Schizosaccharomyces pombe: one gene and its partner. The protein of the gene in region 1 interacts with the protein of each later gene in a pairwise test. Each region holds a gene or a part of one and is shown in the gene's direction. Other genes may lie near its edges.

What was found. Proteins that work in one complex are often made in the same cells at the same time.
Region 2: the proteins of tho4 (region 1) and pci2 interact in a two-hybrid assay, tested with the Schizosaccharomyces pombe proteins (one study listed by BioGRID).

What each region holds. Positions count from the first base shown.
Region 1 is NC_003423.3:400,310-403,930, reverse strand, and holds tho4 (THO complex subunit), read left to right. Parts: upstream 1-1,565; 5' UTR 1,566-1,581; coding exon 1,582-1,626; intron 1,627-1,667; coding exon 1,668-1,736; intron 1,737-1,789; coding exon 1,790-1,914; intron 1,915-1,931; exon of another isoform or gene 1,932-2,020; coding exon 2,021-2,087; exon of another isoform or gene 2,088-2,247; coding exon 2,248-2,766; 3' UTR 2,767-2,977; downstream 2,978-3,621. Other genes in the region: gid9 (ubiquitin ligase complex subunit), read right to left, coding at 1-373, 424-945, 1,008-1,235; plg7 (1-alkyl-2-acetylglycerophosphocholine esterase), read left to right, coding at 3,247-3,621.
Region 2 is NC_003423.3:3,518,228-3,521,984, reverse strand, and holds the start of pci2 (TREX/TREX2 complex subunit Pci2), read left to right. Parts: upstream 1-1,881; 5' UTR 1,882-1,980; coding exon 1,981-2,112; exon of another isoform or gene 2,113-2,178; coding exon 2,179-2,336; intron 2,337-2,383; coding exon 2,384-2,881; intron 2,882-2,895; exon of another isoform or gene 2,896-2,936; coding exon 2,937-3,188; exon of another isoform or gene 3,189-3,230; coding exon 3,231-3,519; 3' UTR 3,520-3,757. Other genes in the region: EMP70 family endosomal transport protein Emp70, read right to left, coding at 1-1,277, 1,426-1,624.

The sequences.
Region 1 (3,621 bases):
CGTTCCAACTTATGAGGCTCTGGATACCATAAACTCGACCGTTCGGGAAAGCAACAGGACAATTGTCGCTGTCAAGTCCTTCGCCTGTCAGAGAATCCACTATCGCAGACTGAGTAATATGGGCATAAGGAAGAGCTTTGCCAAGGTCATTTAAGCAGGGCGTACATACAGGGCATTGTTTCACAGTCTGGGATTGTAATGCTAAAGGATTATCATCATTCGCGTCAAGATAACACAACGGGGTTTTCAGGGAAGATAGACCAGCAGCTAACAATGCATGTAAAAGAGGTACAGACGGTATATTATGAACGGCAGTAAAATTGCTGGTAAACAAGGAAGCCAAATATTCCCATCGGTCATCGGATAGAAGCAACTAATTTGTCAGTATAAGCTAAGAGCAGAGGTCTCTCAATGTAAACTTACCGAATATGGTGAACCATTCGTAAATTCAGGAAAAGCTAGTAGGGCAGCCGCTAGCTGTAGTCGAGCAGGATGTTCATTTGCCCAAGTACCGAAGTGCGCTTTGGCGAATGCAATGGCTTGGCAAAGTTTTTTACTTTTTATTAATTCTATAAATCTCTGTAGTCGGACCTCAAGCTCTAATGTACTATTATTTTTTTTTAAAATTGCTCGATGCTCCGAACACCAAGACAAAACCTCTTTGAGCTCCTGTTGAAGAATGGAATCGTGAATGAGCTGATAACGCTTATATATGCCTAAATCAACCAAATTCTCCAACTGAGAGTCTTTACAAAGTAGAGCAGCTGCCCCATGGTACCCATTCGCCATCATATAATCAGCAACTAAACGATTCAGTCTGACTCTTGACCAATCTAAAAAATCCGCAGATTCCATGTCACGAATTCCTTGAAGACGATTCATGAACAACAGTCGTGACTTAGTTTGCTTGATAAACAGAGCTTCACAATCATGCAAATGCTTCATCTACACAAAGAACCATGTAAGTTACAAATATCCAACTCAAAAAAAGAATCAATCAAACTTACCTTCTTCTTTACAGTACTGACTCTTGAAAGGAGAGAATCTATTTTTTCTATTTTTTCATCCATTGATGCATTCTCTTGACTGATCAACGTTGTCAATGTGGAATTGATCACATGCGATTCATGCTCCAAGTGCCGCAAAATGTGTTTGAAGTTAATGCGCAATTGCTCAAAAGAGAGAAGAATACCAGGCTTTTCAAGTATATATTGCTGCTCTGGACGAAAATTCATGTTTGAAGGCAAAGTCTAACAAACTATTGGTAGATGGACCCAAAAATTTAAATCAACTAAAGAATATTGAATATTTTAAGAATAAGAAAGTAATTAGAAGAATTTGTTTAAATGTAAGGAAAACAGCAATTGCAGAAAGACGATGGGTTGTTGGCGAAAGATACACTTTCTAGGACCGTAGTGCAAGATGAATGAAAAATAAGGAGAGCTAAAAAACAATAAAAAAAGAGGTGCATATATTAATTTATGTCAGGAAAATCTGCAATTGGTATGGAAATCTCCTTTTTGGAATGCCCCGGGTTAATTTTTACCAGTCGACATTTTCGTGCCAAGTACCAATTTTCAAATGTCGCTGGAAAAGTCCTTGGACGAAATTATAAATGAAAGAACGGTAAATTTTTTTATTTTCGATATTTGTTTTAACAATCCTAGAATGGTTTTGATCACAAGCACAGTCGGCGAAGGGGATCTCAAAATCGTATTTCCAAAAAATCGCGATTGGTATGCTAATTTCGAGGATTAAGTGTTTATTTACTAATTTTTTACTTTTTAAGACCTACAAATTCAAAAGAGCATCAAAAGAACACAACTCTAGTCCAGACGATGGCCCGTGGCAGCATGACTTGGATCAAGAGCAGGATGCTCATCCAAGGACCACTCACCTACAGAAAAGACAACAGTATGTTTTGAATTTATAAGATAAGCTGTAAACTTTTTTATTACTCTATTAGCTCTTAGTCTACATGCACTGTTATTATCATTATATACTAACACAGCAATCTTAGCTCAGAAAATCGATTTGGGGTTCGTGTGGAAAACTTACATTATCAGGTTTTGGAAAAAGATGTTTTGGTAAGTGATATATGTTTACTATGTTTTCAAAAGCCTCGCTTTTAGTTTTCGATTGAAGATTATGAAACGAACCTGACAAAAAATCTCCCTGTCAAGCTAAGTAGAGCTTTGTTCCGATTTCGAATCGCTTTTTTTATTAATAAACTAACCTTTTCTTAAGTCTTTGTTTGAAAATTTCCATCCAATTCGCGTGATTATGAACTATGATCGTGCAGGTCGCTCTGAAGGCTCCTGCGATGTTTACTTTGAAACTTCCCAAGATGCTGAAGATGCCCAGAAGACGCTTCAATCTACGAACTTGAAGGGCTCCGAAATTCAAATTTCGAAAAAGTCTCCACCTTCCTTATTCGATCGGATTTCCGACATGCCACATTCAGCCCGCAAACCAAGCCGGTCTTCTCGTTCGAACCGAGGATTCAACCGTTCTTCAAAAAAAGACGACAGATCATTTCGTTCTTCTTCAAAAAAGTCTTCTAATAATTCAATTTCACACGAAGATTTAGACAAAGAACTTGACGAATACGCAATGTCATTTCACGCTGCTTCAACTGTGTCATCTCACTCATCACAGGATTTCACACCGTCAATAGCCAATGCTCATGAGAAAAACGAGCCTGTTGCTCCTTCAAAAGATAGTAATTTGACCGAGGAGATGGACCTCCAAATGGAAGCGGTTTAAGCTCGAATTGCTGTGCAAGTAACCCTTTTCCTATGCCAAAAGTTGATTATTGAGTCAATTGCTTTGATTTGTACATTATAAAAACGAACCGGCTAAAAGGACATCTTTCATCATAACCCCTTACTTTATATATAGATGCTCGTCAATTTCCATCGTCTTCCTTCTTCTACCACAATCGTACGAATCGTACCAAAAATTAAAATTTGCAGCAGACAGATTCATATTACCTTGCAAGGCCAAAAATTTATTAATTTTATTTTTTTTATTTATGTTTATAAGTGCTTGTTAACGAAAGAGATATTTTGTTTTTGTTTCTGGCATTATTCCATTCTATTCCTACTACAGTGATCATAGCAATTAACAATACATCATCACTGTGCTCTTGTAATTTGATTGAATCGTTTTTGACACAATCTTTCATTCTTTAAAATAAAATAAATTTATATATTTCTACATTACATTCTTATTTGTTAGGTAGAAATGGGATTGGGATTTTCTTCGAAAAAGCAATTACCTGCCTACTGTGGTCCCTTGCCTGTGGGGTCTTTAGTCTTAGAGCTGAGTGTTCCAGAGGAATTTCGATGTGAATATAAAACCATTGAACACAAACTAAGAACCGTAAAAGTACGCATTTTTTATCCATTGGACCCAACAAAAGATGTAGAGCCTCGCACCGATGAGCTTTGGTTACCATTCCATGAGGGTATACCCGAAGTTGCGAAAGGTTTTCGTTGGTGGCTTCTTCGTGCGTTCGCTTCTGGTTTGACCAACTTAGCTTTGCCCGTCTACAAAGGAGAGTTGTTTCATCCACCGAACAATGGGAAACTGCCAGTATTTATCTTCAGCCATGGATTG
Region 2 (3,757 bases), 3.1 Mb from region 1:
GATAATCGCACTAGGAAAACTCGAAAGCCAAATACTATGAGATGGAATTTGACGAGGGATTTGGTTTGTCCTAACAGGTGGGACGAACTCTCGAGAACGAAAGCCGATTAAAGAACCGACAAAGCTTAATGGTACAGTAAACAATAGATACAGGAAAATGAGTAGAAGCCAGCTTGAAAAGGGTACAGTTGATGATGAACTTTTACTCCAAAATACCATGTTAAAGAAAAGAGCTGCCGCAAGCATAAAACCAGGTACGACAAAAGGAGTTAACAGAAGATTTCGCTTTCTAAGCATACCTTGCATCAGTTTGTAGGATAATGCAGATACATAACCAGAAACGAAACCTGATATAATGAATAAGGCCACCGTTGCTGTAGCTAAACTTCCACGACGAGAGGGTGCAACAATGCCAAAAATTGCAAATAAAACGATACCAGAGCTCATAAAAAGAAGTTGTGCACCAGTCCCTAAAAGGATAGAAAATAGCATGGGTCTACGAGGTGGACGAAATACATCACCATGAACTAGCTTCCAACCAAAATCTTCTTGAACATCTTCTTGATCGACAAAGGCGCTATTATATTTATTAATGTCACGATTTAGCGTTCTGTACAAAATAATAGAAACCACAAAAATTAGAAATGTGTCAATAATTGCGGAATGGATAATAAAGATCCATCGAATTTGCCTAGATTCAATGTGCATATATTTGTCCCATCGGGTAGCCCATGGAGTATCGGAATATTTCCAAGAGACTGAGTAAGAGGTCACGAGAGTAAGATCAGCTCCTTCCGGTAAATACTGTGGATTTGAAGACGAAGAACAAACTGGGTTTCCATCAACTAAAGTAGACTCCTTTGAGACAGGTTTTACATAAGCACCCACAACACGGTGTTGGTCACTAGATGTCGTATGATATTCTATAACTATATCATAATGATTGAATAGAATTACTCCCTTCTCCGTATTCTTGCCTAATGGAAAGCCTGGCGATAATGAGTAGTTCTTTGAGTTAGTCCCTTCTAAATATGTTGCTACGGGCAGATTATCTATGTTCCAGTTAACAACGTAGTTTTTGGAGATTAAATCTCTAATAAAACTGACATCTGAACTGGGAATTATCGAGGCACACAAGGGAACACAATCCTGGTTTTCAAGCATTTTTATTTCAATGGGAGAGTTGTAGAGACGGTCGCCAAAAAGCACACTTCCAAGTGACTCAGATTGTTTTGCGATATTCTCTGGTCGACAGAAGTGGAAACGCTCATCGTAGTCTAAAGTGAAGTTAGTAACAAGCAAAAAAGTTCGAGAGAAAATGTTATATCCTTCATTAAATCATATTTCTATAGTGTTTTCCTAATTTAAAATTGTAAAGTTTTTAAAAAAACACATGAACCTTCATGTGAGCTATCAACCACGTACATTCATAATTAAAGATGTCAGAACCCCGTCCATCTCCAATAAATGGTGAAATGGTATTGACAGTTGTATCAATTGAAGCACCGGGAGGATAGTTTTTCGGACTTAAGGGAGTTAATTGAAAACTAAAACAGGTTTGGAGAAGAACGGAAACGAAAACAACAAAGCTAAATGAACACGAGGGAATACTAGGTAAAAGCATATTTTACTATTTCCCTAATTCTTGGCAAAGACTCGAAACAGAATCTTTTCAAACCGAGATGATTAAGACTAAATCAATATAAAGTGCTACGGTTTTGGGGATTGATGCTGGTAGCATTTAATTTGAGGAATGCTGCTGTACTCTTAGTATGTCTCTTTATTGTGCTATTAACAATCCTCGTATACCGGTTTACGACCTGCTAACTTTCGTTATTCGTATATGAGGTTCAGAACGTGAGAGTTGGAGAACATCGATGTAAGCGAAAACATATCTGTTGAGTTTTCTTGTTATAACTTATTTATCGTTACATAATAATTGAAAGTTTAGTACTAAAAGTTGCGAAGGAACAGGTTGGAATGTCCTTAAATGACTTTCTGCAAACTTTGAGTAACGCTGTTGGAGAGAAAAACTCCAATACGTTGGAGAAATGTATTATTTTAGATCCATCAGAGCCCTCGTTTCAACAGCTCAGTAAAACTCTTTTTTTGGTATGTCGCAGGCTTGCACTACAAGTAATTGTCTTCAGGTTATAACATTAACTAACCGTGATAAAGGATAGAAAGGGGAAAAATAAGTTAAACGGAACCATTCAAAAAGAATTTGGAAGAATAAGAGGTTGGAAGGAATTGGTAACTACCTATTTTGAGTACGTTGAAAATGCTGCATCTTCTCCTGATCAACGAAAATGGGAATTGTTACAAAACTTGTATAGGTAATTAAAAACTTTTTGTTTATTATTTCTCACTTTTGTTTTTCTAGTAACTTGACAACTTGCTTCTCCCATATCGATGGAGCATGGTTGTGTACAATTGTAAAACGCGTTTCAAAGCTTTATGTAAAGCTCTCCCTTCAGCTAGATACATCTACACCTACTTTAGAAGATTCTTTTGATGGTAATGGGTTCATACAGAGGAAATACGTGAGCGATGCATCTAGGAACGTCTTACGAACGTTCAATAGTATACTGAGTGATCGTCAACAAAACATTAACCCTTCGAAGAAGGATGCGATATTCTGTATTGCCAATTTACTTTGTTTACTATATTTTCGCTTAAAGCAAATTCGTCTTTGCCAAACTATTCAAGCTAATGTCATCTCTTCGGGTGCCGATATTTCTCGCGCTACAATGGCGGAATTAGTAACGTTTCGTTATTATTTAGGAAGGTGTCATCTTTATCAACGCAAAATTCATCAGGCAAAGGACCATCTACTTTTTTCGTTTCTTCAGTGCCCTGATGAGTGTTATCATCAAAAAAGGTATGTTTTATTTTACTCAAAAATAGGATTCGTTTATATTTACTAATCAAAAAAGGCTTTCTCTAATCTATCTTACAACGTGTTTACTTATATTAGGAAAATCGCCAACAAAAGGGCTATTAGAAAAATACAAATTGACTGCAGCATTCGAACCTTTAATAAAAGCTTTGAAAAGTGGTGATATCAAGTCGTTCAGATTATCTTTGGAGGACAATTCCAGGAGGAAATGGTTTATCAAACGAGGAATATATCTAACTTTATTGGATAGATGTGAAATCATCCTGTGGAGGAATTTATTTAGAAAGGTGTACGTTTGAGATTTTTTAAAATATTCGACTAATTTAAAAAGGTTTCTTTTTACTTTTGAGCAAAGCCAAAAAACCCCGCACGTATCTGGTTCTTACTTGTTAACCGCGGCCCGTTTAAGTACAAATGATAACTCATATGACATGGACGATGTCGAATGTATCTGTGTTTCTCTAATTGACCAAGGATATATTAAAGGTTATATCATTCATGCATCATCAACTTTAGTCCTTAAAAAAGACCCATCGTTCGGTTTTTCTGTAATAGAGAGCCTTATGCCCATAGCAAGGAATGATCACGCAGAAAAGGAATTTTTTCATGCTAACGCATAATTAAATGAACTCAGAAAACGTAGATTGTTCGAAAATTATACTTAAAATTAATTAAATTTGAATTGACAAATGTTAAGCAAGGAACAGTGTTCAATCATCTTGCTTTGCGAAGTCTGAAAGCTAAATAAATACAGTCTAAACGGCAAAGCGTAATTTTATTCATTTTTAAAACAAAAGGGTATTTGGTCAAAGCAAAAAACTCTATAATTAGAAAAGTAAAATACCAGATATCACTTGA